Regions from separate parts of the Mus musculus genome. Here regions 2, 3, 4 and 5 are each reported to be linked to region 1. The links are microRNA targets in miRTarBase. Many come from high-throughput screens and were not tested one by one. Region 1 holds a microRNA gene; each other region holds the end of a gene's coding sequence.
What was found. Region 1 holds the annotated microRNA mmu-miR-125b-5p (UCCCUGAGACCCUAACUUGUGA, at 3,066-3,087, opposite strand). A microRNA usually pairs through its seed, bases 2 to 8, with sites in the 3' UTR of a target mRNA and lowers its output. Matches are read on the target gene's strand: a 7mer-m8 pairs with bases 2 to 8, a 7mer-A1 pairs with bases 2 to 7 and ends in A, and an 8mer does both.

Region 1 (6,092 bases):
AGTGTTTTAATTAATACCAATCAAACGTTTTTCTTTCCCTGGGGCTTGATATGTTCCTAACACTTTCTAAATCATCTGTTTTCCCCTCCAGAAAAAAAAAAAAAGAAAAAAAAAACAGAAAAACCCTACAAAATCACCAAATCACCCTTTGTTACAGTCGCTCAATTCTAATCTCACTGCGTTCTGTGGGAAGCCATAAACTTTTTGTATAAAGGTGTTTTTGCCCATAAATTTCATTCCAGGTGCCAGATTTTAAAATGAGTTACTGTTTCTCTAGCATGCCTCCTTAAAGAAGAAAGGAAGAAAGAAAGAAGAAAGAAAGAAAGAAAGAAAGAAAGAAAGAAAGAAAGAAAGAAAGAAAGGAAGAAAGAAAGAAAGAAGAAAGAAAGAAAAAAGAAAGAAAGAAAGAAAGAAAAAAGAAGGTAGAAAGGAAGGAAAGAAGGAAGGAAGGAAGGAAGGAAGGAAGCGAGCAATTAGAGATTTGAAAATTAAGCATTTTCTGTATTTTTCTTTGAGGGGCAAGATATTGCAAAACGGGTTTCAGCTGGTTCCTCTTGTTATCAGTGGGCTTGCTTAAGCTGTTAAATTTCAACTGCATTGATTTTGAACAGACCAAAAAAAAAAAAAAAAAAAAGCAAGACTTTTTAAAAAGGAGGTGGTTTTGTGTGTGTGTCTGTGTCTGTGTGTTTCAGCTAGGTAAAAAATGGTGAGCCACTGAGCCCTGTGAACTGAATTCTAACTGTGCTCCTAGGAGGCACAGGAGAGCGTTCCACTCATTATCCCCCCCTTTCTCTCCAGCTTCCTGTCCTCCTGCGCCCTGAGCTCCAGTTCCCTGTCTCTTTTCTTCCCCCAGTGCACCCCCACTGCAGCTCCCAGCCTTATTTTTTTTTTTTATCTGCCAGGCTGGATTTGCGCTTTTAAAGATCAGTATCAATAATAGCCTGCTTGTTTCGGTTACACTCTCCCTCTAAAAAGACAGTCCCCACTAATTGATGCGTCTGGGCTAGTCTAGACTGGTAGTGATTGAACCAACCACCAATTATGTTATTCATTTCACTGAACTTCACTGATGGGCTCCATGAGGAAGAGGGGCTGTTGAGAAACCTGCCCTTGCAATGAAGCAGTTGCCTGCTAAAATATAAAAACCTGTGTGTCACACGCCCTGCTGAATGCCTGAGCACCCTGCTTTAGTCTGAGAGTGGGAGGAATCCACTAGAAAGCCTGGGGAAAAGAGAAGTGCCCCAGAGTACAAACCGAAACATTTGCTATTAGTTATGTCTTCCGATCATTTGAAATCACAGAGAAATTACAGCTATCATAGCTTTATTGATCATGCACCCGTTTTCTATCAGATAGGCTGCGTACATATCTTGCCTTCAAAAGCACCAAATGTCTGCCGGTCTTTTGCATGTATGATGTGAGTATATATATTGCCCATGAGTTAAACTGTTGTACTGCCATAATTTCTACATAGCTATACATACGCATTGGCTGAAATGGGGTGGGGAATCGTTAATTATTTTATATAAACTCACGGGCAATCACTTACAGAACTGTAAGCTTTGAAGCACATTCCACCAAATGCTGCCAAGTAATAGTTAAATTACAGCCGCACAGGAGGTTTCAACAAAAGACACAGCACAGTTGTTACACACTTCTCAGTTCAGCGTTCTGATACAAAATGCTTTCTTGACTGCAGTTTGGATTAAAATGAGTCAAATTGCGATAAATGCTTAAAAAAAAAAAAAGAAATCGCAAACAGTTTCCTTCACCTTCCACTCCGTGTGCACAATGAGGCTATTCCAAAATCTTTCCAAGAAGAAAGCATTGGGGGTCTGGGTTGATTTAGGTATTTTTTCCAAAAATGAAGAGAAAGGTTGGGCTGAGGAGAGTAAAACGGTTTAAAGGAAACCACACACCCAGAATTTTCTATAACAAAGACAAGGTAAAGCACCTCGTCCTTCTCTCCCAGTGTGAGGTGGAACTGAGGTGTGGGACTCCCCCTGCCATGGAAAGTTACAATCTCAGAAAACTACAAAGTAGGAAATGCTCACAATCGCCTCGAGAGGGGATTATTTTGAAATGGGGTTTGATATTACCAATAACTTTGTCAGGTAGAATTAACATCCTTGATAGCCATCTTTCTAATTTCTAAAAGAGAGCCATGAGCATTGATTGACCCCCCACAAAGAATGCAACAATACCAAATTCACCCAGCTATTTCTTTCACTCCATAATATTTAGAAAATCCATATCTATCGTTCTTTACTTTAAAGTCCATCATGTATAACATTTTTAGAGTACCAAACCAAGGAGGGAGAATTCTTTCTTCCATTTTTGTTCTCACAAAATCTTTCAAAGTAACACGTATTTTATCTTGCCTGATCTCTTAATTCCCTTCCTTTGTATTGAATACAAGAGTTGAATATTTAACCTCTTCATTTCGTCCAGACTAGAGGTGTATGAATACCTCCGTCAGTGAAACCTCTGTCTGGTAACAGAACACACGTAGACAATGCAGATAGAATACATTCCCATGCCCATTTTAATTGGGCACAATTTTGAGATTAACTGTTGAGCTTAAAAGTTGGAGGCATGGGGCATGCTGGGACTTCAGCTGAGATGTTCTGAGGCCAAGCACCAGGTACTGAGCTGTTGGTATTACGCTCCGATAGTACTGTGTGTTGCTCTCAAGGAATAGATCCGCCAGCCTCGGTATCAGCCATATATATACACAGGCGTCCATAGCAGCCAACACAGGATGCTAACATACTATGCCTACTTTTACAGAAGCCAGGAGCTGCCACTCGGGTCACCTGATCCCATCTAACAATGGAAGCCTCAAGGGTGTATTACCATCACTTCTGACAAACTTTTCTCTCTCTCTCTCTCTCTCTCTCTCTCTCTCTCTCTCTCTCTCTCTCTCTCTCTCTCTCTCTCTCTCTCTCTGTGTCTCTCTGTCTCTCTGTCTCTCTCTTCCTTAAAAGACAAAAAGTTCCTTCAGCGATGCAAAGGCACGACCCGCAGCTCCCAAGAGCCTAACCCGTGGATTTAAACGGTAAACATCACAAGTTAGGGTCTCAGGGACTGAGGGGAGCGCAACACGATTCCTTCATTCTTTCTTGAGACAAAACAAAGCAAAAATAAAATAAAAATGACAGGCAATTTCGGTTGCAGACTCGTGAGTAAAATGCAGCAAACAGGTGGTCCAGTGTGACTACATCCTGGCTCCCTACACCTCTCCCCTTCACAAAATTTAGATTCATTTCTGTCTCCATACAGCCCTGTATATGCAACACACACATATATACCTGAACATATAAATGTCTGTTGTATCAAAGGAAACTTTGTAGCTTTGGGTAAAATCATTTACCAAATTGGAAAATAATATGAATAAGCTCAGAAATGTCCAGTTCTATTTGGAAAGAAAAGAAGCGATCTACAATTGGAATTAAACATCTCTTCAAACCGTTCATTTGTTAACTAGCACGATTGACTGCGGAGAGGAAAATATGCATCTGCCTTCCCCCAGGGCAAGCGTGCCTCATGCAACAATCCTAAGAGATGGGGTTTGCGGGAAGCAGGAAGCAGGAATCGGAGGTAAGATAGGTTTTTTAAACTCACCCATTTGAAGTGGAGCATAGTTGCAGAGCTTCCAGGAGCGCCATCGGGAGCAGGGGGAGAATGTGAGCTCTAGGCTGGGCGAGGTGTTCAATAGGACAGAGAATGGGGCGGGGAGGGAAGGCGGGGGCAGGAAGCGATACTCCAAAATCCAAAGAAGACCGTAACTCTGTGGTTTATGCTTTGACCGGGGGTGGGGGGTGGGGGGAAGGCTGTTGGGTGGGAGTGGAGGGAGGGGCTGGGGCTGATCGAATTTGGAAAATAGTCGGTTAAAAAAAATAGAAATAAATAAATAAATCGAGAGAGAACGAGAAAATCTCCCAAGGACTGCTCGGAAAAAAAAAATTCTTTTTCTTTTTCTTCTTCTTTCTCTAGCATTCAGAGTTCTGTCAGTCTTGCAAAGCTGGCCCTCCTCTGCATCAGCTGCTTGGCTGAGGCCAAGGCCAAAATCACCCAGAGCGAGCACCAGCCTGTCATTTGGTAGACGCAAAGTGGGAAGGGGTGGGTGCGAGCTGGGGAGATGCTCCCCCACCCTCGCCTCCCGCTGCGGATCCTTTGAAGCCTTTGGCCAATATTTCAGAAGAATCCGAGGCGTAATCCCCCTCCATCTTCACAGACAGCTACTAGTGCTGTACCTGATAGAGTCGCTTTCTCGAACCTCCTCTGCCTGGAAGCGGCGCTTTCCTGTGCAGACTCAAAAAAAAAAAAAAAAAAAAAAAAAAAAAAAAAACACCACGAAAGGGAGGGGAAGCCTATGGGAAGATGCCTCTTTAAAAATTTTTCTTTCCCCTCACCCCTCCTTTCTTTCTTTTATCCCAGGCCTGAGCAAAGTAGATGGCTGGCTGGGCACACAGAATAACAAAGCACCGCTGTAAGGAAGACACTGGAGGGGGCCCTTAGACTCAGAATAAAAAAAAATTAATAATAATAAATAAAAAGAAAAGGAAAATAGCTAACTATTTTAAATATGCTTTCATATACAACTAGAAACAGTTAAGAGCTCCAGGCTCACCCCCTCCTCACCAGAAGAACTACAATCATGCCAGCCAGCCAGCCCGCTAAACCGTGTCTTTTCCTTCACTACATGGTCTGTTTAGAACACCTCCCCAACACACACACACACACACACACACACACACACACACACACACACACACAGACAGACACACACCACAGACACATACAAAACTTTTCTTTTTTTCCTCACCTCTGTAGGTTCAGCTCATACACAGTCCTTGGTTCAGCTCATGGTCTCTCCTTTTTTCTCTCCCTTTTGCTCTCCGAAAAGCCAGACCGTCATCACCATACCTAGTCTCTCTCTCTCCCTCTCTCTCTCCCTCTCTCTCTCTCATATTAATAATAATAATAGCCCTTTCGACATAGCAGCATGAAGTGGCTGCCTTTGAGAAAGCACATTTAATCTTTACTGGCTCCCCTAGGCTTCACTGAAGAAGAAGGCAAGGGGAGAAAAAAAGGAGAGAGAGGAAAAAAGGCTTGTAAGGGAGGCTGCTGACGGACAGCAAGCATCAGGCACAAATCAGCGACAAGTTGAATTTTCCTAGACCACACTGCCCCCTTTCTTCTCGGCTCTCTCCCTGGGCTCCTGGAAAGCCCCAGTGTCTGGTTACAAGAGGCAATGGGTCTCTTTCTGCCAGCCATGGTACAGATTCCTCTCATGCCTGCTTAAACCTCTGGCAGAGTAAGGAATCGATATCCCCCTCTAATCACCTTTAGCTCTTTGATGGCTTCCCCCCTTTTTCTGAGAATCCACTTGGCTTCCCTCGCATCTCCCCCCCCCCCTGCCCTGCCAGGCACTGGCATACAAAGCTTGCAGGCTGTCATCTCTCACTTCCTTCCATATCTTGAAGACAAGCCTCTTCGAAAATTCTCTCGAGCTTGCTCTCTCTGTGTTGTAGCATGTCTCCTCCCGGACTAGCAGCACCGGATGCACGGAGACATCTCCCTGACTACTAATGAGATCAAAAATACACCATCAGGTCAGGGGAAACTAGACATTGTAATATATACATTATATATTATATATGTACATGAATATATATTCTTTTGCTAGATCAACAGTTCAGGTAGCCCATTTTCTAAGTGGGGGGTTGGAGCACGTTCAAGATGGTGAATGTGAAGAAGTGAGACCTCTGGTGCAGTGTGGTTCTTTGGCCAATTGTTTGGCATCCACACACGAGTGCGGATGAGCACAGGTGAGGCTGCTTGTGAAATTCTCCTGTTCTTCTTTTTTTTTTTAAATGGGCAGATAGTCAACAACACCCCAAACATTTCTTTGAAATTTGTGTGTGAAAGCATAAAAGAGCAACAACTCAAGTCTATATTTAAGATACATAGACGCTCTTCAGGCACACAATGACCATGATGCTAAAACTCTTGCCTTTGAATGGCCGAGTTTTGCCGGTTGCCTCCGGTTGCAATGTGCACTAATTTGCCACTTATGGTCCTGGGAT
Region 2 (6,092 bases), not on the chromosome of region 1:
TGATACATCCCTCCAGCCCCTAATTTTTTATCTAATTTTTCTTTTGAGACAGGGTCTGTCATTGAAGCTGAAGTTTACCAATTCATTTACGAGTGGCTGTCCAGGCAAGCCCCTGAGATCTTCTGTTGCTGCCTCCCAGAAAGTGCCTCTGCTCCTGGCCTTTGGAATGGGTCCCTAAGATCCATACTTAGAGCTAACTGGTGGCTTGTGGTGGCTGGGGGTGCACACCTTTAGTCCCAGCACTCGGGAGGCAGAGGCAGGCAGAAACTCTGAGTTTCAGGCAAGCCTGAGCTATAGAATGAGTTCCAGGGCAACCAGAGCTATACAGAAAAACCCTGTCTCAAACAAACAAACAAATCCACACTTAGGTCTTTATACTTGGTACAGTATAGCGAGAACTATTTAAAAAAAATCACCGGCACCACCGGAGCTATATCCAGCTACTCTCTTCCCGAGGTCTTTCCACCCCAGGCTAGCCCCATTTGGTGACCGATCCTGGTTCTCTTGCTGCGGATTCTGCTCACATTCCCAGACACCCACCCACTGTGGTCAGGGGTCCCGAATCCCAGTAACCCAGTAAAATCCAAACTCTAGAGGCTTGGAATTTATAAGACAGATTTGTATCAGTAAATTCTCACCCCGCAAAACGCCCACACAATGAACTCAGAGCCAATTGATATTGATATAAACTGCCCACCTAGATAAGATAAGACAAATTGTCCTGAAATTATCCATCCCTTATAAGACCTTCCTAGCTACCTATGGCTATCTATGGGATAGCCACATGAGCAATCTGGATCTTCTCCCTCTTCTTCCATCATCCTTCCTTCCTCCTTTCTCCTCTGTCCACGGGAAGAGAGCAGCTGGGTATAGCTCGGGGTGGTGCCGGTTTTTTAATAGTTCCTGCTACAGTACAGTACGCATTTGTATTCCCTAAGCCATCCCCTTTCCCTCCACCCCTATCTTTGTGAACTGGGGATTGAACCTGAGGCCTCAGGCCTGCTTGGAATGTGCTCTACCACCAAGTGACAGTCTCCAGTTCTTTCCTTTTACAACAGGGTCTTGAACTCTCTATAGCTTTAATCTGTGATCTTCCTGCCTCCATCTCCCAAGCAGTTGGGAGCATAGGCCTATGCTACCATAGTACCCTGGTAAAAGGGATCTAGGCTTCAGCCTGCCAGGGGCATGGGTTGTGTGTAGAAAGGCAGGAGGCTCATCACCACCACAGAGGTTGCCACTGCTGGGTGACAGGTGGTGGGGCCTGTGATATAGTCCCTTCAGTGCTTTGAGGCAGGCAGAGCCTGGACCCGAACCCAGGCTGACCCCTCCAAAGCCCCTCTGTCCCGAGGCACTGGGCTTCGGTGGCTCTACTACTATGCAGCCAGACTGTTCTTCTCAACTCCAAGAAGTGAAAGACCATGACAAGAGTGCAACACCCCTGTCGGTAACTCTGGCTATCATGGGAGAAACACGTTAAGGCTGTTTGATGCTCCCTCTTGTACTTTTAACACACCTTAGAAAAAATAAAGAACAGATCTGCTTTAAATGGTTTTATTAAAAACTGTACCACTTGATGGATGAGAGGATATTTACACATGTATACATATAAAGAACCAAAAAAAGGTCAAATATTATATACAGGTTAAAAAATAATGGTCCCCATTCCTTTCCTTAAGGCAGGATGCCCAGACCCCGGGCCAACCAGACTGGGGATGAAGGAAATGCTACATCTCGCTGGGTCTCCCCGTGTCAGTTTCTGTGAACCCAGAGATGGGGTGGACATCAGACAACTGTAGAGAAAGGGGCAGTGCAAGCCTGGGGTCACAGACCTCATAGCACCTTGGCCAAAGCTGGCATATATGGAAGAGCTCAGCTTTGTTCTGCTGTCTTCCTTGAGGCTCTGTCCCCTAGGTCTGCAGCCCACAGGAACCCCAGGGAACTTGAAATGACTGTGGCTCCACCCTGTATCCCTCTAGGTCCAACCAGGGTATCAGGCCAGGATAGCCTGTCTCCAAAAGGCCTTATCTTCATAGCAGCCACAGTGGCCACTGTACTGATTCCCCCAAATCCTGCAGAGCCACGAAGGCTGATGTCTTGTTACTCCATACACTGGTACCCGCCCCCTCCCCAGTAAGTCCCAGAGCGGGAAAGCTCAGAATATTCTCCTCGCTGACCAGGCAGGACTGTCACAGTGACCTCACTGCTTAGTTCCTGGAAAGCTTGGGACAGACAGGGGCCTTGGCTAGACTGTCCCCAACACCCACTCCCTGCCATGCTCAGTGTTGGGCTTGCGTTTCGCCACTGGGGCAGCAAGGCAGGCCAGCGGGGCCTCTCTGGGCTCTGGAAACAAGCTCTGCCACATAGCTCTGGACACAGCCCATCCCCTGGGGCCTGAAGGAGGTCACCGGGAGGTGATCTTTTTCCACCTCTGATTGAGCAAGACAAGGCCACTGGGGACAACTGAACAGCACAGCCAAACTTTGAAACAGAGAGACAGGGCCAGGCAAAGTGCCCACCCTCCCCCCACTCTCCTGCGTACCACCCCAGTCTCCCTGGGGGAGTCAGTGACGGGACTGGGGGATGTTCCTCTCCAGATCTGTTCACTGGCTTTTAGAAATGCCTCCTGGGGATTGTGAATTAGTAGAGCAGTTTGGCCCCTGAATACAGGGCTTCTGTTCCTCTAGGGCATTTCTACAGAGTTTTCCAGCTCTTCTCCCACCCCCCATCCTCAGCACACCACAAAAGCCTGTTGCCTTCAGCTGGTTACAGGTCACCACACAGGTCAGACCCTCCCTCCCTCCCTCAGAATCTGAATCTCCACTCTTCACTAGAGACAGCCAAGCTCCTGGAGTTCTGGAGAGGCAAAGGGGAGGGGTTGTCCAGGGGCTGGACTCAGAGACTATAAAACCAATTCACCAGGCAGAGATCACCGGCCAATTAAAGCAAGCAGCCAGGGGGAACCTCTTGCCTCCTTGAGCTGGGCTGCCAGCTGCCTCCAAGAGGTTGGAGAGAGGGGGCATATTTTTATTTATTTATATTTTACAGTCCTGGGATCCATCCGAGGGTCTCTTGACCGACAGGCAAGCCCTTTATCATTGAGCTTCAACTCCAGCCTGGATTCAGGTTAAAGATAAAAGAGGGTTTAAGTTTCACCCTGGCTTGCCTGAGTTAGTAAGTTTGGTCCCGGCTTGGCCCAAAATGGAGACAGTACATTCTGACCAGCTTCTGCCTGGTCCAGGCTCAATGTTCAGGTCAAACTCTGGGCTCAGTTCTCAGGCCACAGGGTACCCAGCCTGCACCTAGCAAGGTTGCTGAAGCTGACAGTCATGCCTTAGGACAGATGGAAAGTCTACTAAGTTATGTTAAAGATAACTGAAGTACAAGGTTCTGTATGGGGAGGGGCACGCATGTACCATCAAGCACATGTATTGCAGCACATGTACCAAGCACATACCAGAAGCCTGCCTGTCATAGCCTTGATCCAGGAAAGGGGAAGACCACATATGTCCCACACACATCTAAACTGCAGGGAGGGTGGGATGTAGGAAGGCTGGGCTTCACAAATAATCAAGCCCACCCTCAGAACCAGTCTTCATATTCATTACTTGGGTCCCCTCTCCTTGCAAACAGAAACCCACTTTCTTAGCAGACGAACTATGGTATAGACCCTGAGAAAAATGATTGTGGCCAAGAAGAGGTAATATCTCCAGGTCATCTGAGCAGAAAAACACAAAGGCTTATACACATGCCTTAAGGTCCTCCTCAGGACCACTGAGAGTGCACACAGTACCTTTGTGCAAATTAGGAAAGACATTCCTTACTCTGGGCAGACCCTGCCCACATCAGGATGTGCAGCCTAGAGAGCAGGGCACAGGCTGGACCTCAGCCTCTATGAGCCCCCTCTGTCGGTAGCCTTGGCAGGGAGAAACCTGCCCAACTGGACACCCAGGAGATCCGGTGCCCTTTTATGGTACTGAAATCCGCCCCCCCCCCCCACTTCTGCAGAATGGGGAGTCACTGGGCTTGTTCAATTTGAGTCTACTCTGAGTTTCTCCTCCAAAGTCCTTGAATAATCCTGTGTTCTTCTTTGTCTAGGGAAGCCATCTTTCTTTGAGCCTTGGCTCATCTTCATTATAGCACCAATGTCTTTCCTTACATACATAACACTTAGGACTTAATTTCTAAGATCAGCTGCTTTTCGTTCCCTCCCTGAGCACTGCAGCGGGGAGAGAAGGAAGGAGCTCCCAGGCAGCTAAGGTCCTGCTGGGTTCTAGAACTCTCCTTTCTGGCCTAGCTGAAAGCTAAAGGGAGATTCAAGATGTGTCAGCTCTGCAGTTTCCATGGTCTAAACATTGTCTGTTACTTCCAAAGTCACTTTTCAGCTGACAAAGCCTCAGTCCTAGCTTCTTCCTGTATCCCGCTAGGTACAGAAAAGGAATGGGGGTAAGGGGGAGGAGGTACACGTTTCCAAGGAAACCAAGAGGTCTAGGATTCCCCCGGGACCAACTTATCAGTGGGATGGCTGCTGGGTTCCCACGCCCCCAGCAAGCCCACCCCATCTCCAAGTGCTTCTGCTGAGATGGATGCAGACAGATCCAGTCCAGTCATTGGCAGGGTCTTCTGAAAACAGAGCTGACAAAGGCACAGGCCGCTGGGTACAACGGCATGGTGACTGGCTACTTGGCTCCAGCAAAGGTGGCAGTAGTTTGCACCCTTGGGGACCAATCAAGGGGCTTCCATGTAGGACCGAGTCAGACTTGAAGCCTCTCAAGTTTGATTCATTTTGTGGCACCTTTGAGGGGTTCTTGGAGAAGTCCGACCCTCCCTGAGGTCTTCCGGAAGTTGACAGCGTCTGAGTAAGAATCCCTGAGCCCATGCGGTGGGCGCTGGCTGTGCCAAGTGGGAACCCAGACGTGAATCGGGCTAGCCAAGGCACAGTTGATCTTAGCCAGGAGGCTCCCAGACAGGGTCCTGGTGGGTTAAAGCCATGATCCATCAGGCACGAAGGAAGGCTGACATGTTTGATGGTACTGGGAGCCTAACCTGACTTAACCAGCTCCGGTAGCAAGTCTCAGTCCACTTCCTGGAGAACATCACCAACTGGTCATCTTCAGAGCCTTAGGAACTCTACCAGCAGACACAGCTGCCTCTCCTTCAACAGTGTTTGACAAAGGCCCCCATCCTCAGTGGAGGTTCTGAACGGGGAAAGAAGATCCCACTGGGGCATGTAATATGTACACATGGATAGAAAGTTACGGATAACAAAACTTAACAAGACAGTATCTGTCCTCCCAGACTGCATTCCTGGTGATCCATCCGGCCAGGGCGGTCCAGCCTCACCAGGGCCCCACCCCTTCCCTGTTTTCTTGTCTGTTCAGGGCGAGGTTTTGAAGGAAAAGGAAGACCTGCCACCACGCACGGTCTCGGTTCTGCTGGTGCTGTAAGGAAAAGAGATGACCGTTAGGTGTCAGGCCACAGGCTCCTTACTGGGTCCCCAACAGGCTCCCACTGCCAGATCTCAGGCTGGCACCTTTGTGCCATCCAGCAAACTGGGGGACAAGAGACGAACCTCCCAAGACAACTGCAGCTTGGGCATTAAATACACCACGCTGGGCTGTGTGTACTGAGCACAGGAGGATCAGACTTTCTCCCTTGCTTACAGGATTTTTCCAGAGTTTAGCCAAGTACTGCTTTTAATCAGATTGGCTCCTGACACCCACCCCCCCCTTAACTTTAGCTGCATGAACAACAATCTTGCTTGAGCGAGAAAGACAAGAAGTCCCTCCCTCTCCCCCATTCCAAAGGAACACAGAGAACAAGAGAGGGAAGGGGAGGGGGAGCCTCCATCTGCAAGTGATTTGACACTGTGAAGGTCAAAGGGTTAATCTTCAATTTAAACCACACTGCTGAGGCAGCAAAAATCTGATTTCATCCAGTACAAACACACACACACACACACACACACACACACACACACACACACACACACACACACACACACACAGACTTGTGTGAGGCAGCCAGCCCTCTCCCCACTTCAGCATCCCCAGCTCCGGGCTGCCCTTTTTATAGCTGCTTTTGACAGTAAGCCA
Region 3 (6,092 bases), not on the chromosome of region 1:
CTGTGGACTAGCAGGCTGGGAGGGACGGGAGGCTTGCCTTGTTTTGAAAATCCGTTTGGCATTACAGCCTCATGCTTGGCACATAGTAGGGGTGCAGCAGATGTTTGGTTTTGTCGGTATTTGTTAACTCAGCCAGACTGGGTTTAAACCAGAGACCCTCCTCCCTCTGTCTCTACAATGCTGGGTTACAAATATGGACCCCCAGGCTCAGGTCCCCTTTTTTAAAAAGCACATTTATTAATTCAGGTATTCACTGAACAGAGCCGCTTTCAGCCATCCTCGGGGGCACAAACCCACAGAAGTCTTCAGCTACACAGCATGTAATTAAGCACTTACTGGACACAGAGCCCCCGTGTGTCCTTATAGCCCTGGCTGGGCACGGATCCGGTCAGGATCCCAGATGTCTGTAAGCCCCTGGGCTTGCAGTTAGTTAAGGAGAGCTTCCTTACTGCAGAGCGGTGGGCTGCTGGCAGCATGCAGAGGAATGGCCTTGCTGGCTCTGGGTGGGGGTGGGGAGGCCTCTCCAGGCTGCCTCTCAAGCTTTGTCCCAGACAAAGTAAATCAAAGTAAATTCAAGGCTGGTAATAGGAAGTCCAGTCGCAGCTCCCCTGCCTGAGGCAGTGACTACAACCCGGGCTATGGAGGTATGGTGGGTGACCTAGAGCCTGCTGCGTACCTCTGTGCCTCAGTTTCCCCACCTCTAATAGGACTGCAGAAGGGACAGATGACAGGTCAATCAGAAGTGTTCAGTGCCTGCCAGGTGGGAAGGACTTTGTTTCAGTGAGCCCCGCCTGGAGTTTGGAGACTCAGCAGTCTGGTGGTGTTCAGGGCTGCACAGCAGGAAGCCCAGAGACCCGCATCCAGTGCAGGTCTGGCTGTGCTTGGGCTGACCGGGCCCTGTCCAGGCCTTCCTAACCCTGCTGGTATCTCTCCCCAGGTGAGAAGCCATTCTCCTGCTCCCACTGCAACCGTGCTTTTGCTGACCGCTCCAACCTGCGTGCCCACCTCCAAACCCACTCGGATGTGAAGAGATACCAGTGCCAGGCCTGTGCCCGAACCTTCTCCCGCATGTCCTTGCTCCACAAGCACCAAGAGTCTGGCTGCTCCGGAGGCCCTCGCTGACCCTGCTACCTCCCCATCCTCGCTGGCATCTTCCCGGAGCTCACCCTCCTCCTCACTGCCAGGACTCCTTCCAGCCTTGGTCCGGGGACCTGTGGCGTCCATGTCTGGACCTGGTTCCTGCTTGGCTCTCTTGGTGGCCTTTGCCGCAGGTGGCTGATGGAGTGCCTTTGTACCCGCCCAGAGCCTCCTACCCCTCAGTATTCATGAGGTGTAGCCTCTGGACACAGCTGCTTCGAGCCATAGAACTAAAGCCAACCCACTGGCTGGGAAGCTTGAACCCCGCTCAGGGGACCCCACTTCCCTACCTCCCTCAAGGACCCTTCAGGCCACCTTCTTTGAGGTACAACAGACTATGCAATAGTTCCCCTCCCCCCCACCCCGTCCAGCTGTAACCATGCCTCAGCAGGGTGGTTACTGGACACATGTCCAGGTGCCCCTGGGCCTGGGCAACTGTTTCAGCCCCCGCCCCCATTTGTCCTGGTGACACCTGTTTCACAGCAGTTTAACTGTCTCAGAAGGGACCATGAATAATGGCCATCACTTGTTAGGGGCCAAGTGGGGTGCTTCAGCCTGGCCAATGTGTCTCCCAGAACTATTTTGGGGCCCAACAGGTGGCCCCGGGAGAAAGATGTTTACATTTTAAAGGTATTTATATTGTAAGCAGCATTTTGTATAGTTAATATGTACAGTTTATTGATATTCAATAAAATGGTTAATTTATATACTAAAAAGTGCTCAGTGTTGGGGTGGGGGCACCATAAAGGGACTTCCAGGAGGGAGGGGCAGGGCCTTAAGTCTTGTGCTTTGGAGTTCTAACTAGTCGTGAACTTTGGGGCCTGGGCTGCCTGGCCTGGTATCTGTCCCACTCTGGTACAGTGCAAGCTTCCTGAACTCTTAGTTCTTCGGGCTCTCTTGGGAAGGTGCTTTGTGGGGCTTAGCCACAGCCTGGCCAGGAGCTCTGGCTCCACCATAGCAGGTCTTTGGGGCAGAGCTAGCTGCCCCTCCCAGCTGAAGGGAGGATGTCTTTCCTGTTCCCAAGCGCCTCCCTGTCAGGCAGGCCCACACCTCTGTCTGGCTGCTGGGTACCAAATGGTCTTTGATGCAAGGAAATGGGCTGGCTGGAGCCAGGAGGGTGAGAAGCCAGGCCAAAGGGTAGGGGTCATACAGCTTCCTGCTTGGAGGACCAGGGCTGGAGCAATTTACCTCAGGCTAGTTGGTGCTGGTGACCTCAACTCTGAGGGCCTCCTGGGGCTCGAGAGAAAATGAGTGTCCTTTCTAAGCACAAAAGGTGATGAAGGTGCCAGTTTCCTGTGGGGAGCTGAGCAGGCGTCGGCTGGGAGCTTCAGCCAGCCCAGCTCCAACCCGGCTGGGGGGTGGGGAGCTTCCAGCTCCAAAGGAGAGATGAGTCTTCTAAACAGGAAATGGTGACCCGCAGGCGGGAACAGCCTAATGACTTACAGCTTTCCTCCCAAAAGGAAAAAAAAAAGTCTCTAACAATCGCCAAATTGTGGCAGGCCTCCCTGAAGGGGAGGTTGGTGAGGTGGTATTGGGGGCTGGGCATCAACGAGCTGAAGGCCTACTGTGTCCCCAGGAGGTTCCTCCACATAGGTTGAACAGTGAGTGACTTCACCCCGGGCCTGGAGGGATGGGATGGGCCTCCAGGACCAGACTCAGCGCTGAGGGCCTGGCCCCAGGTCTAGTGCCTAGGACTTGGTCAGCCTGGTTCTGAGCGTGCTGGGAGTCAGGTAGGCCTGGCTCCTGGCCCTGACTCTCACCTCTCGCTGCCAGAAGCAAGCAAGAGTCTCTCTGCTCTCGGCCCCAGTTTCTGCCTCTAGAAATCCGAGGCAACAGTGCCTGTCTCTGGAGAGGCTGTGAGGAAACATTCCTTCAGTCATTCAGTGGGTACTGTGAGCCGGGGTGTGCCAGTCCCTGTGAAGAGTCACTGTGCTCAGGAACTCTGTTCTAGTCGGGGAGACAGAAAACAAACAAGCAATTAAACACACTGCTCGCCTGCAGCAGTGCCAGGATGGAATGAGAGGCCGGGAAGACTTGAGAGCAGCAGGCAGGGTTCCCACCAAGGCATCCAGAGCCCTCGGGAGGGTTGACATTCCAGAGAGGGAGGAGGAGGATGGGAAGGATGGAGGTGGAGGAAGAGGGATGGGAGAATCCTGGGGGAGGGGAAGTAGGCTGTGGGGCTGGGAGAAGCTGTCCTGAGAAAGACCATGTGGCTGGGGGCACTAGAAAGCCAGGAGGAGAGGGAGATCAGGGCCTCTCTGGAACCTCAGCCCAGAATGCAGCCAAGGGGCTTAGAGACAGCAGCTGGGACCAAGGTCCCATAGGCCGCCTGGCAGGGCAGAGACTAGAGCTAGGAGAAGGAATGGAGGTGGCATAGCAGGTGACAAAGGGCTCGGGCCAGGGCTATGGTGGCTGGGTAGTTTACTGCCCACCCAGCCTGGGGCCTTCCTCGCTTCCTTGGGACTGGTCCTGGACCCCAGTAAATGGGAGAGAGGACACAGCTGTCCCAGAAGGAACCTCTCTAAGCCTGGGGCCGAGTAGACAGACAGACAGCCTTCTGTGGGAAGAACTGGGGTGGGGACTGCAAAGGGTTATTCACAGAAATGTGCAGCTTTTGACAACGTGAGGAGAAAAGGCTGTCTCTAGGAGAAGGCAGGCAGCCAAACTAGCCAAGGAGAAGTGAGAGAATCAAGGGTGGAGGCGGGAGGGGAGGCCTTCTTTGAGTTTTAGATTTGTTTGTTTTTGAGACAGGGTCTCCCTATGTAGTTCCAATTGTCCTGGAACAAACGGTAGACCAGGCTGGCCTGGAATTCACTCTGTAGACCAGGCTGGCCTGGAAGGCACAGAGATCCACCTGCCTCCGCCTCCCAAGTGCTGGGATTAAAGCCGTGCGCCAATCAACACTGCCATCATTTATTTTGTTTGTTTGTTTGTTTAAGCATTTTGTTGTTGTTGTTTGTTATTTGTTTTTTGTTTTTTTCGAGATAGGATTTCTCTGTGTAGCCCTGGCTGTCCTGGAACTCACTCTGTAGCCCAGGCTGGCCTCAAACTCAGAAATCTGTCTGCCTCTGCCTCCCAAGTGCTGGGATTAAAGGCATGCGCCAACCAACACGGCCACCGTTTATTTTATTTATTTATTTAAGCATTATCTTTGAAGCAGGCTTTTGTGTAGCTCAGGCTAGCTACAAAGTCTTCATGTAGTAGTGACCCTCCTGCCTCCACCTCCCAAGTGCTGGGATAACAGATGTATACAACTCTGTCTTGTTGTGCTCTTCTGAGGATAGAGCACCAAAACCTTGTGTATTCCAGGCAAAAATCCTACAAATGAAGTTTCAATCTAAGCCAACCCCACCCTTATCCCCTGCTTTGAAGAGAAGGTATCACTTTGTAGACTAGGTTAGCCTCAAAAAAAGGAAAGAGAGAGAGAGAGAGAGAGGGAGAGAGAGAGAGGAGTGTTTGCTTTCTGTGTGAAGGGCTTTGAAGGGCTTATAAGCACTGTGGTTTTTTGTGGTGCTGGAGAGATAGCCCAGACTCTCATATACGCTGGTCAAGTGCTCTATGGCTGACTGCAGAGCTACAGCCCCAGCCTGTGATATTAGTTTTTTTTTTTTTTTTAAGATTTATTTATTTAAGTACACTGTAGCTGTCTTCAGACACCCCAGAAGAGGGCATCGGATCTCATTACGGATGGTTGTGAGCCACCATGTGGTTGCTAGAATTTGAACTCAGGACCTCTGGAAGAGCAGTCAGTGCTCTTTATGTTTTTGTTTGTTTGTTTTTTGAGAAAGGGTTTCTCTGTATAACCCTGGCTGTCCTGGAAATCACTCTGTAGACCAGGCTGGCCTTGAACTCAGAAATCCACCTGCCTCTGCCTCCCGGGTGCTGGGATTAAAGGCGTGCGCCCAATATTAGTATTTTTTAAAAGTACAGGCCTTCTAGGCCTGGTGGCCCACATCAACACTCTGGAGGCTAAGGCAAAAAGATTGTCAGGAGTTCAAGGTCTGCCTGAGCTACATAGCAAGACCTATCTCAAAAAGAAAAACAAACAAACAAACACACACACACAAACAAAATAAAACTCAGGTGTGATGGCAGGCAACTTTAATGTCAGCTCCTGGGGGACAGAGGCAGGTGGATCTCTGTATGTTCAAGACAAGCCTGATCTATAAAGTCAGTTTGTGCTGGCTAGTTTCATGTCAACTTGACACAAGCTGGAGTCATTTGGGAAGAGGGAGCCTCAGTGGAGAAAGGGCCCCTGTAAGATATGCCTGTGAGCTAGCCTGTGGTGCATTTTCTTGATTGATGATTGATGTGGAAGGGCCCAGCCCACTGTAAGTGATGTCATCCACAGGCAGGTGGCCCTAGATGGTCAGAGAAAGAAGGCTGAGTAAGTCACGCCAGTCAGCAGCCCTCCTCGGTGGCCTCTGCACCAGCTCCTGCCCCCAGGTTCCTGCCTTGAGTTCCTGAGCTGAGTGCCTCACTTCCTTCCATGATAGACGGCGATATGTCTGTCCTGGGAGGGCTGGCTGGGATGGGCCTCAGTTGGTCCAGTGCTGGCGTAGCAGGCATGAAGCTCTGGGCTTGGTCCCCGCACTGCGTCCGCTGGGGCCGCATGGTGAGGTGGTGCTTGCAGGTGATCCCAGTACTCTGAGTCAAAGGAAGGAAGGAAGCACAGAAGTTCAAGCTCATCCGTGGCAAGTTCCTAAGTTGGAGGCCAACCTGGGCTCCTGTCTCTGAAAACCAAACAAAGAACCCACTTGCTGCAATGGTCCTAAAATGGAGCCCTTTCAGCACAGCCCTTCTCACTGCGCTGGACAGTTGGCTTCCTGCCTAAGAACAAGCCCCTGTCTCCACCGAAGCTCGAGCTGGGCCTGGGGAGATGCGGCTCGGCTCGGGGCTGCAGGATCTGGCCGGGCCATTAGCTCTTCCCTTGGGATTTTCTTTAAAATCATTCC
Region 4 (6,092 bases), not on the chromosome of region 1:
AAGGACCTAAAACCAATGTCAGCAGGTTCAACAACAACATGGTGCAGAATCTCTTGACTGGACCCATGTTGAAATATTATTTGAATTTTAATTTTTAAAAAGATTTATTCCACATGTATGATTATCTTGAATGTATGTATATATGTGCATCACATCTGTGCCTATGGATTGATGGTGGCAAGTTAACATTTGGGTGCTGGGACCCAAACTTCAGCCATCTGCAAGAACAGTAGGTGCTCTCAAAGACTGAGCCAACTCCATCCCTCCACATCTGAAATCTGAAACTCCCGGTCCAGGCTGACCACAAACATGATCCATCTTCACACACCTTCCTCATACTGCTCTCACTCAGATTCTTCTCAGTGTTACAAATGCATATACACAAGTATCTATGGATCATATGGTAAATCTGGATATATGACTAACACAATTTAGAAACCTGTGACATGAAATACTGATCAAACACTATCTAGATTATTTTAGTACTGTGACTACAAGAACTGTTGAACACAGCCAAGGGAGATCCCTGGGCCTCTATCCTTGCCTCAACCTCTACCAGGTGCTCTTCAAGTTTTCATTGTGATTCTACTATATAGCTGCCAAGAGGCTTCCTGTTAGATGCTACTACTAACCACAATCCTATCCTATCCTGCCTCCCTCTCTCCCTCTTTCCTTTCTTTCTTTTTCCCTTTGTAGTCCAGGCTGCCCTGGAACCCATTTTGTAGACCTGGCTGGACTTGAACTCAGAGATCTGCCTGCTCTGGCCCTGTCCCGAGTGCTGGGATTGAAGGTGTGTACCATCACCAAAAAACAAGCCTATTTTCAATGCCTTGCCCTTCTTTGTTCTAGATGTTCAAAGTGAAAACCGGAATGGCTGTATCCACTAAGCCTTGGACAGGAATGAAGGAAAAAGATCTCCCATTTGAGTTCCCATAGGAGAGGCCAGAGCATGCTTTGGACCAGGAAGGAAATTTGAATAGACAGAAACTCTTCAAAGGACATTCATTTGATGAATATCTTTGTGATCCTGTTTTTCTATGTCTTAAGATATATTACACACAACACATGCACACTTGCTTTCTGTTATATCCCAGAACTTGAGATTAATTCCTATCAGTAACTACCAACCTGTCATTCATACTGACTTTTATATTTTATTTGTTTAGAGATTAGTTTTTCATATTCCTTTCACTAGACTTAAGTACTGTTAGCTTCTCCCTCTACTGCCCCTTTCATTTAACAGGTGGGTAAGAATTTTTATTTAAGCTAAGTATGTTGTGTGCTAAAGTTTTAGGCAGTGCATGCTCTACATTTTGTACATTATATGAATTTCAAAAGATACACTCTAACATGTTTGTCTACTTTTCAAATTCATACATTTTTTTTTAATCTGATGCACAGTATTTATAAACAAACAAAAATCTCCTGCAATGAGCAATGTTCATTATAAGCAGGGCTTGATACCAGGTGCCTATACTAGAAGTATATACTAGAAGCACTTGGGAGGCCAAGATGGGATGAGATCCCATCTCAAAATAAACAAAGAGCCCCAACTCCTCCCAAATCCCAGTCCAACCAAAAAAACAAAACCACCTCACTGACAATGCTATGCTTGACCACTAGTGTTGCCTCCTTTCTCTTATCTCACAGCAGTGGCAAAGGATGCTTTTCAGTGTGAGCTGCACCATCTTGACTTCCTGCCAACAGACAGTGAACTCAGCAGTCAATTCTCTGCTGATGTATTGACATCAGAGTCTACAATTCTTCAGACTGGTATAACACTTTTAATCATGTGGTGTGCAGCTCATGATGGGCAGCCACAAGGGTCTTCTTGATAGCTCAGAAACTGTCTACCTAAAACTATAGAGCAGTCACAGACCTGAGAGGCAGAACATGCACACACTGGCTCCAATGATTTTCTACACAAAGAACACAGATTGGGTTGGCAAGATAGCTCAGTGCTGAGGGAGGAGCACTTGCCAGGCAAGCCTGACAGTCTGAACTTAAGTGGAAAGAGAGGACCAACTCCACAAAGGCACTGTGACATCCATGTTTCCCCTCCAACTTTATAAGGGTCTTCTGACATCCATATGTGCTCCCCCACCATATCACGAAAAACATACACACACATAATTTAATGTTTTTTTTTAAATACATGAAAATGGCTTGTGAAGCAAATCCTACCATTCCAGAAGTGTAAAGATGCTAGATTACATAAATAAATCTATTCCCTATAAATAGATTTAGGGAATGGAGCAATAATTCCAAGTCACAGCAACACAGAGGTCTTAAAGGATATATAAAAATCAAGTATGAGGGGCTAAGCATAGTAGTGTATGCCTTTACCACTTGGGAGGCAGAAACAAGTGGGATTATCTGTGAGTTCAAAGTCAGCATGATCTACATAGTGAGTTTCAAGCCAGCCAGCTAAGACCTTGCTTATAAAAAGTAAAATTAAGTGCAATTAAAGCATCCACTTTTAAACACTATTATTACCATTTGCTCATATATTTCACCAATTTTATATAGATTTTTTTTGAACTTTGGATTCACAAAAATTCTCCCTTTCAAGTGTATTTAAATAAATTTATATTAATTCTCATTAACCAGAGACTTATCAAAAACAGTTTATATATAATTTATTCACAAATTACATGTCTGAATAAGAATGGCTCCCAAAGCTCATATATCTGAGTACTTAGTTATGAGGGAGTGGCACTACTTGAGAAGGTTAGTGGTGTGGCCTTGTTGGAAGAAGTGTATCACCAGAGTTAGGTGCTGAGGTTTTAAAAGCCCAAGCAAGGTCCAGTGGCTCTCTCTCTTTCTGCTGTCTGCAGATATACAGAACTCTCAACTACTTCTCCAGCACCATGTCTACCAGCATGCTATGTTCCCCACCATGACAACTGTTTAACCCTCTGAAGCTATAGCAAGACCCAATTAAAGGCTTTCCTTTTTAAGAGTCACATTGGTCACGGTTCTCTTCACGCAATGAACACTGACTATAGTGGATTGGGCCTAGTGCTGCTTGTACTATGTTAATTTGGGTCCCCAAAACGGTTTGCAAGAGAGTCTGCACTGGGGGACCCTGTCCCAGTTGGTATTGATTGGTCAATAAAGATGCCAGCAGAGGATGGCTGGGAAGGGCAGACAAAAGCAGGACGTCAGGATTCCAGGGCTTAAAAGCTAGGGAAGAGGGAGGAAGAGGAGATCTGCCATGCCTGGAGAGTGTGGAGGAGAGGAGATGCCATGCCTGAGAAGAGTGGAGGACAGGGAGGCATAGCTGCCATCTAGGAACTGGGACAGTGTGGTCCAGAGGGCTGCCCAGCTAGGCCCAGGGCAGTCAAGGTAGAGTACAGAATGTAGTAAGTGATAGATCAAGATTATCAGTGGGAGGTGGATTAACCACATGGAGGTTGGAAGTGGCCTAGCTGTTGCACTGTTTAAGGCATATCAAAATATAAAAGCTCTCTGTGTGTCTTTCTTTGGGAATGTTAAGCACTGAGGCTGGAAGTAGGATCTATTAATTAAAATCTAATTCAACAACTAAGATGCTACACAAATTAATTCATTTAGAAAAAATTCAGTATTATTCTGCCAATATAACTTACAGCTTTCACACAGTAGCTGTGGAAGAGCAGAATTTTAATGTTCTTTTAAAAAACAGTGTCTTGTTATGGAAACTAGACTAGCTTTGAAGTCCTGAGATTATAGGTGTGCACTTCTACCCTTGAATCTTTCATATATGCTCATTAATAAATATAAATTATTTCTTTTTATCTAACCAACTTAAGACATTTTCTCCTATGTAGAAGGTTCCAAAATAAAAAAAAAAAAAACATATAAAAGCCAAAAGTAGGTTATAGCAATTTACTTCACATAGGAACAGTATTATTTCAAGCCTATAATTTTCATTGAATATCAACAAAAATAGTCTGTACACAAAACCCAAAGGCAATCATATAGCATAGCATGTAAAATGTGCAAATATACTTTAAAATGCAATTACCGTGTAGCACTCGCAAGGTAGAACTGCATAGCAATTCTAGTTAACCTAGTAATTGTTTGCAGGTAGGCAATGCAAATGTCCAAGGCACAACTAAGAGTTGGTACACAAGTATGTGACATACACCCTCAGATCATGTATTTGAAGACATTGAAATAACACGATGGTATGTTCATATTTCATTATGTAATGAGACATTAGTTTGTCTCTAAAGCTCCATGAAATACCACACTGAGAATGTTTGTGTGGTTAGAACAAACTGCTCCCTGAACTTAAAAGTGAAAGACATGACTCTCGCTAATATTTTAAAAATTATGTATATATATGTACACACATACCCACATCATCCACAGGAAACATCCCAAAGTCCAGAAGAAAGTCATTTTCTTATTAAAGTTTCCCATTACAGTATTTCATGACAATTCTCGAAAAATGCATACTTGTTTGCTACCTCTTTTGGTCAATCTTGGCTATAAAAGACACTGCGTAGACAAGGCAAAGATGACTACTGATTTAGAAAGTCTCGAGTGCACAGTGGAAGGAGTCATGGAGTTATAAAAGCCCACTGCTTTAAAGGAATCACTTTAATCTATACAGGAGAAACCAGCCCACTAGAAACTCAACAGGAGCACTGGCTGTGCCACAAACCCCAAATTCATCAGTGCTCTGCGTTTTGCTGCCCATCCCTGAGAGTAAAGATTCTACCATTAATTTTTAATAAAGCAGTAAGTTTACATTGATAAAATGCTTAAAGATTTTTCAAGACATTTATATACCATTAGCTTTAGCCCCGTTTCAATTTCATTTTTAGGAAAAGAAAAAAGGCCTTGCTCTTTGAACAAGTACTCATGAGAATCCTAGCTGCTGTCCATGAAGCCGGGCGAGGCTCCTCGATGTCCCCACTCTGCTGTTCCTCATACCATTGTTGCTTTCCTTACAATTCGACAATGTTTGTGAATTAGAGAATTTAACAGACAGTGAAGGAAAAGGACAACACAGACTTTAGGAACACTCAAGTGACATGTATGTTTCCCTGGGTAAACGAGTTTTGCTGGAAATAATCTGAATGTCATCCAAGAAAGGCAAAATACCTACAAAAGAGAAGAAATGCAGCATAAACATGTTCTTGCTGTCTTTGTGTTAGCCTTCCTGGCCAAAATCTTCTGTAAACTTCTTCAGCTTCAACAAGTCCTGCTCATTGACTGTTGGCTTTGTGCTGGACAGGGACCGCAGCATATCCCACTGTCAGAGAAAGGAAAGAGGTCATTAACAATGGACTCAATACAGTATAAATGTCCTTCTTCGTTGTGAATTTACAGTTGCCTAGGAAAATGTGCTGTGTTATGAGCTCCTAGCAGCAACTTCCTCCTCGTTACCTACCATGCTCACTACCTCCTACAAAGACAGGCCATAGTCCAGCCACCATCTCACTCCTGGTCTAACTCTTTATCTTCAACAAGAGGTCTATTTCACACCAAGTGTAACCCAGAAGAAAAATGGTAATTGCACAAGCAATTGATAATTTAGCACAGTCTCTGTGGAATTCTGTAACTGAAGTATCGAATTCTGAAAGTCAAGACTATTAGCATTCAATAATAGTAAAACCCTCTACATTATTCTAATCCTTCTGATGAAAACTATAAACTGCATTTTGTAGTAGTATCACTATATTCCTTTTTAAATTGTACTCCTTATTACTACAAAAATATATTTCTATAAGTCACTTGGTTGTACTTAAATGGAACAGCAATGAGAATATTTTTTAAAGTTAAAACTAAGAGTGAAATGGTGAAAATACACTAACATCAGAAAGTCATTAAAATGAACGTTTCCTATAAAATTACATCACAAATGAAAAAAGGAACCACTGTAAGTTACTCTGAATTCTTCAAATCAGGACAGAACATAAAACTTACAACAATAATCTCATCTGGAAGTACTGCAGTAAGCGGGACTTCTGAGTACTCAGACAAGCACTGAGTCTGTGTCCCTATACAGACACACACACACAGCAGACTATGTCTGCTCACTAGCACATCAGTCTCCTCTCTTAATGCTCCTGTCCAACCTACCACAAAGCACTCTG
Region 5 (6,092 bases), not on the chromosome of region 1:
TTATCACGACTAGACTTGTGAGCTCTGGTGACAGGGATGAGTTCATGGGCATCTCAGCAAGGGAGGCACAGGCTAGAGACCTCTCTCTTCCCTACTGCAACTCCTCAAAAGCCCTGGACAGTAGCTGTGACCAGGCGGGAGGATGGCCAGCCCTTCTACCTTGGGACATGCATAGAAGCACGTAGATCGCAGGCATCAAGTAAAAAGCCACGGCAGACTTGCGATGTCTGTTTGAAGAGTCTGCCTGGACAGGCTGAGCTCTGTTCTATCGTAGCCTAAGCCGCCACAGCCACTGTGAGAGGCTACAGAGGGAAGGGGAGCCTGGCACCGGGCGCAGCCGCCCGGGGGAGTAGGACCCTGTTGCTCTTAGTTTTGAACTTTCTGTTTTGTCTCTTGCCCGTCCGGTTTTAGTTCCTGAAATTAAAGAAGTGGTGAGCCACAAGTACAAGACGCCAATGGTGAGTATGCGTCCCAGCCACAGCAGGCCGAAGCACGCAGGGCTCCCTGGGAACCTTCCGGCAAGAAGGGTGGACCCTCGCGGGGGACTAGATGCCAGGGGTTCAACTCAAGTCAAACACACCTTTCATCTGGGGTACATGTGCTGACCCCCCTCTCTCAGGAGAAAGGCTTCCAGAGACTTGCCTGAGGCTCACTCAGCCCAGGGGCCTGCACTAGTGTCAGGGCAGGCCTCGTACTCTAGGCTGACCCTCTACCTAAGAAGGAGTCTCAGTGTGGCTGATCCAACGGGTCTTCTGTTCCCTGCAGGCCCACGAGATCTGCTACTCTGTGTTGTGTCTCTTCTCGTATGTGGCCGCAGTTCGTAGCAGTGAAGAAGACCTTCGAACCCCACCTCGGCCTGTCTCTAGCTGATAGAAGGGTTCCACAGCTGGCCAAGCCCAGGGGTCTCCCCTCACCTCTTGCTGCTCCTAAGCACCGAAGCTGCTGGACTGAGATGGGAATGTGTGTGTGTTCTCAGCAAGTTCCTTCCCACGGTCTAGCTGGTCTTCTCTTACGTCTGAGTGTCTTTGTGTTCATCTGTCACGGGGCTAAGCTAGCCTCATTACTTTCTCTTCCTACAATAGCAGACTAGCCTTCTGTTCCCTCAGGGCTCCAGAGTGTGTGTGTGTGTGTGTGTGTGTGTGTGTGTGTGTGTGTGTGTGGTGTGTGTGGTGTGTGTGTCTGTGGGGTCACTGTGAGCCCACTATTGCCTGTCCTTGAGATGTTTGCACTGTGGTCCCTTGTCCTAGTCCTTATATCCTCCAGTTTAGGAGTCTTCTCTCTGTCCTCTATGATCTGGCACTGTGGGGCACCTGGGACAGTTCCACTCTGGGAAGTGAAAGACACCTGGGGACAAATCTTCCTGGCTGAGGGCCTGGGAGGAGGAGGGGAGGTTCAAAGGAAGCTCAGTAAGTGGTGGGCGACCTTCCTGCTTCCTCACAGTTTCTAAACTGTGGGTGCATGTCATGCTGCTGCCTGCCCCAGCTCCATCGATGGGTGTCCCTGAGTGGCTGCCATGTGCCGAGCTGGGATTTGTGCAGTGGTCTTCCTGGCCTTTGGCATGAGAGGACGGAGGAATGAGGTGATGGTGTCCCAGACAGCACCAGCTGCTCTGCCTAAGGGCCGGGGATAGGTGGGTCAGGGCTGAGCTGAGCCCAGAGTGCACGCCTGTCTGCAGGCAGAGTCTCCTGGCTTCAGTGCCAGAAGAAAGCTATGGACTGGATAGGAGGAGAATGTAAATATTTCAGCTCCACATTATTTATAGAAAAATGTACAGCTGTGTGATGTGAAATAAATGTCCTGAACTCCACTTGGGCTCCTGTGCACTCCTCTCAGCCCGGGCCTGAGGAAGGCTGTCCCTAGCTCATCTGCATCCAGCGTTGGCATACTGAGAGCCTGCCCTGGCCTCCTGCCTCCTGGGCTTCCTGGGGTGCCAGAAAGGAACACCTACGACACTACGGCTGTAAAGTCCTGAGATGTTCTGGGCACTAGAGAGGAGGTGACTTGGGCATTCACACCTGAACAGCTTGATAAAGAAGTCACAGGAAAACAGGGGTACTGCTCTGTGACCCTGTACACGTGTGTTCAGATGTGCTGTGGTGACCTGGGCCTCCCAAGGGCCTTCGGACCAGGGTTCTGTAAAAAATAAAGTGGTAACCCATGTCCAACCCTCATGGGCTATCTATGCCATGGGAAACCCTGGCACCTGTGGGCAGAATACCCAGCACACTGCCATGACACTTCTGAGACCTGCCGGCCACAAGATTTGTAAGGAAATGTGGTCTCTTGGGAGGAAGTCAGAGAAGGTTGTGATTTCCTGTGTCTGAGCTGCATGGAGTCACTCTGTCCCATGAGATGTGGTCGTGAGCTGTGGGCTCTTGGAGTCTTGATGTCTAATACAGTACAGGGCTCTACTGCCCTGTCCCCCGTATAGCACCCAGCTGGTGTTGCCTGGGTTACTGGCATGAGGCCCATATGCCTGTGCCTCCAACGGCTTTCACTTCCACACTTCCTCACCTGAGCATGAGGGTGGAGGGAGGCTGACATCCTTTCCAGTGCTGATGTCCCACAAGTCCAGGACACTGAACTGGAGAGTGGGGTGACCAAGCGAATGCTGTATGCTTTCCCATGGACATGAACAGGAGACATCAACCCCCAGGAATGGCACAGATCTTTTATTGCTCCTACACAATGAGCCAGCCAAAAGGGCCTGTCCCCAGTCACCACTTCTGAAGCCCACACACTTTATGCTCCCAGTATTAACATTATCCTTAGGGTCAGTTTCTTCAGAACCCAGCAGACCTGCCTGGTGTCACTGCTGGCCAGTCCTTCCAGGATGCACAGTTGCACACACACATGCAGTAGCAGAAAAGGGTGCTCCTCCAACTCCCTTCCGGTCTGGTACACAGCCTGGCATCCATTTGTACCTGAGACATAGGCTGCCTTGTGGATGAACTGTGGCTTCTTGTACCCCCATTTCCTGATAGCCACCCTAGGCCCTTGGCCTTAGGTGGTTTGGAATACGTACCTAGCCATCTCTGGGGAGCCATCCTGGTCACTGAGGAACTGTAAGAGGGAAGGAAACCATGTGATTCCCTAGTCTTCCAAAAGCCAAGATCCACTGAACATGTCAGGACCAGTGATCTAGCAGCCAGAGGTACTCCTTGAACCAGGACAGCAGAGCCAAGCCCAGGGTCCATGGTGCTGTCCTGCTTTCTCCCAAGCCCTGGCCCAGAAGGCTCCTTACCTCGCACCTCCAGGCGGCACTCACACTGTGCCTCGCCCTGCAAGTTGGTGGCCCTGCAGACATAGACACCACCATCATAGGGGCAGGGTTTCCTGATCTCCAGGGTCAATACTCCCTGCTTGCAGAACATGCGGAAGCGAGCATCTTCTCCCAGATCCAGGCCATTCTTGAACCAGGAAATCTTGGGCTGAACATCAAGTAAACAGAAGAGAAGGAGAGCATTTTGGTGATGGAAGAACCGGTGAGAATTCAGAGAGACTATTCTAGAAATTCCCACTAGAGCACCAGACTCAGCCAGAGGCTGAGAATGAACAGAGAGTCAGCAATGGGGGATTAGGCTCTGCTCAGGGGAAAGACAATATAGACTGGGGAGAGTTAACCATAAGGAGCCTAGGAGACCAGCCTCCTGTCAGTCTAGCCCAGGACCTTGAGTCCCTACCTTAGGACTACCTCGGACAGCACAGCAGAGGATGGCATTATAGCCTGCAATGATGGAGCGATTTGCCAAGGGCTGGGTGAAGCTTGGGGCCTCAGAGAAGTCCAGGGCCTTGTATTTGGGTGGCTCATATGTGATGCCTGTTGGTGACAAGTCTTGGTACCAAGAAGGTCACCCCAAGTGAGGCTCCCCCTCCTTCCCCAGATTCCTCACAGTGTGAGGGAGGGTACAGCACCTGGTCTTGGAATAAAGACTGGCTCCTTGGTGGCGGCAGCTTTGTCACTGGAACCCACCATGTTATGGCTGAAGACCCGGAAGTAGTAGCCATTGCCAATGATAAGCTCTGATACCACACAGTGAGTGCGTCGGTAGTGTTCCAAAACCGTGAACCACTCCTGGAGGATGGTGAAGGAAGGGAGGACTCTCTGAGGGACCTCTGCCTTTCTTGGGTACCCCCTGTGCCACTACCCCTACCATGCAGGAAACCAGAATAATGGATTGGGGGTGAATGGTAAGCACAGGGGAGGGTATATGTAGACCCAGGGCCCCAGGCTCACCATGGTCTTCTTGTCAGCTTTCTGTACAGTATAACCCCAGATCTCTGTATTGCCATCATCTTGGGGTGGCTTCCACTCCAGAGCCACATTGAAACCCCAAGTCTCAACGATCCGGATATCCTGGGGAGGACTTGGCTTGTCTGCAGGAGACAGATCTGATTGGCACACTGAGCGTTCTGAAGTGACCGAGCAGAAGCAGGAGCCTGTTAGTACCTAGAAGGCCCTCCTTCTAAGTGCCCTCGGCAGGAGCTCTGAGCTGGGCTCCCAGACACAAGGTCAGGAGACAAGGGTGCTGAAAGGGAGGTTCCGGGCCCACATACCCACAATCTGCAGGATCAGCGTTGCCTTGTCCTCCATGTTCTCAATGCGAACTGTCACCTGGTAGGTGCCCGAGTGGGTGCGGCGGGCAGCTCGGATGAACAAGATCGTGTCTGTGGGGCTGTTCCGGATGCTCACCTCCTCACCTGCCAGGGGCTGCCCCTCTTTGGTCCAGGTCACCTGAGGCCGGGGTTTGCCCTGGGGGAAGATGACCAGCCCAACCCTGAGCTTGACGCTCCGAAGGGGCAGGTTCTGCACCAGCAACACGTGGATGGAGGCCTCAGGGTCTGCAGCCTTCAGGAGATCCTTCAACTGTGGTTTCTTCTTAGGGACAGGGAAGGAGTCAGCCTACCTGGAAAGGGATGAGGAGGTTCACAGGCTCCCCAACTTTCTTCTGGATGGTCTGGCGCAGGTGTCTGGGCAGTTGGAGCCGTGGTCGTTCTGTGGGTAGAAAGGAGGCAGCTCACTAACAGCCCTTCTGTAGCCCAACCCTAAGGATTCCACAGGTCCATTCTCTCCTGGGGCAGGGTCCAGAGCACTATAGCTGAGAAAAAAGTTCCCATGGGCCAGACTCTCCTAACCCACAGCAATTGCAGTATGCTCAACACTAAAAGCTGTACAGTGAGCTTCGATATATTACTATCGTGTGTGTGTGTGTGTGTGTGTGTGTGTGTGTGTGTGTGTGTTTCACTTTTTAGATTTATTTATGGACTTATGTGCATGAGCATCTAGCCTGCATGCATATATGTGCGCCATGTGTGTGCCTGTGTTTGTAGAGGTCAGAAAAAGGCAATGGGTCCCCTAGAACTGGAGTTAGAAATGGTTATGAGCCACACATATGTGTGCTGAAACCAAGCCCTGATCCTCTGCAAGAACAGCAAGTGCTCTTAACAGAGAGCCCATCTTCCCAGCCCCTGTGTTATCTTTTGAGGGGGAGCTCATACAGCCAAGCCTGCTACACATCCCTCACCCTCCTCCAGCACTACAGGGTGGGGGCACGGGGGCACGGGTGTGTGGGGGCGGGGTGCCACTGTGTTCAGCTTCAGTTCAAGATGGTAAGGAAGTTATTTGGAGCCACAATTCTTGAAAAATGTAAGCAAAGGCTCTGATTCTATGCTTGTCAATTTGTTGCTTCCCTCTGACCTAGAGAACCAATCCTTCTACCTTTGTTGAGGTAAAGAACAGAATGAGCCAGGTGCAAATGGCACATTCCCAGCCCTCAGGAGTTAGAGGCAGACAGTAAGTTTGAGGCTAGCCTGGTCTACATAGTTCCAGAACAGCCAGGACTATGTAGAGAGACCCTGTCTCAAACAACAACAAAGACTAACAGAAGAATGGGAAGTGTATCCCAGACGACCCTAAATGGCTCCGAAAAGCCTCACTGTTCAGTTCTGAGGACAATACCTATGTGCTGGAGTACCTGTTCCAGAATTAGGGACTGAACCAAGAGAGCCCAAGGCATAGATGAAGGCCCTGGCCCTTCCTGCCCCAGCCCCTGTCCCTGCCCTTGCCTACTAAAGCCCATGTCCCCAGCCTG

Region 2: miRTarBase lists Bmf as a target of mmu-miR-125b-5p. Seed matches in the 3' UTR shown: 8mer at 4,864-4,871, 8mer at 4,823-4,830, 8mer at 4,207-4,214 and 7mer-m8 at 3,667-3,673.
Region 3: the mRNA of Snai1 is a reported target of mmu-miR-125b-5p. Seed matches in the 3' UTR shown: 7mer-m8 at 1,405-1,411.
Region 4: the mRNA of Vps4b is a reported target of mmu-miR-125b-5p. Seed matches in the 3' UTR shown: 8mer at 4,690-4,697 and 7mer-A1 at 4,270-4,276.
Region 5: miRTarBase lists Madd as a target of mmu-miR-125b-5p. Seed matches in the 3' UTR shown: 7mer-m8 at 1,102-1,108.

The regions. Positions count from the first base shown.
Region 1 is chr9:41,578,935-41,585,026 of GRCm38, reverse strand. It overlaps Mir125b-1 (microRNA 125b-1), which reads right to left and starts at 3,101; the gene lies at 3,025-3,101. The region is part of intron 4 of Mir100hg (Mir100 Mirlet7a-2 Mir125b-1 cluster host gene); the gene reads right to left. It overlaps Gm51670 (a long non-coding RNA gene), which reads left to right and starts at 5,381. Exons shown (of 2, transcript XR_003948129.1): 1 at 5,381-5,834.
Region 2 is chr2:118,527,222-118,533,313 of GRCm38, forward strand. Bmf (BCL2 modifying factor) reads right to left here. Exons shown (of 5, transcript NM_138313.4): 5 at 1,536-5,438. The coding sequence ends at 5,337. Among named protein-coding and RNA genes, the nearest start is that of Bmf, 19 kb to the right of the region's middle.
Region 3 is chr2:167,540,962-167,547,053 of GRCm38, forward strand. It overlaps Snai1 (snail family zinc finger 1), which reads left to right. Exons shown (of 3, transcript NM_011427.3): 3 at 938-1,853. The coding sequence ends at 1,122. Among named protein-coding and RNA genes, the nearest start is that of Snai1, 5.8 kb to the left of the region's middle.
Region 4 is chr1:106,767,301-106,773,392 of GRCm38, forward strand. Vps4b (vacuolar protein sorting 4B) reads right to left here. Exons shown (of 11, transcript NM_009190.2): 11 at 3,488-5,248. The coding sequence ends at 5,147. Among named protein-coding and RNA genes, the nearest start is that of Kdsr, 11 kb to the left of the region's middle.
Region 5 is chr2:91,133,075-91,139,166 of GRCm38, reverse strand. It overlaps Madd (MAP-kinase activating death domain), which reads left to right. Exons shown (of 35, transcript NM_001177720.1): 34 at 412-458; 35 at 766-1,807. The coding sequence ends at 870. It overlaps Mybpc3 (myosin binding protein C, cardiac), which reads right to left. Exons shown (of 35, transcript NM_008653.2): 28 at 4,908-4,996; 29 at 4,558-4,753; 30 at 4,238-4,377; 31 at 3,916-4,075; 32 at 3,684-3,820; 33 at 3,245-3,431; 34 at 3,026-3,063; 35 at 2,651-2,924. The coding sequence ends at 3,053. Among named protein-coding and RNA genes, the nearest start is that of Mybpc3, 18 kb to the right of the region's middle.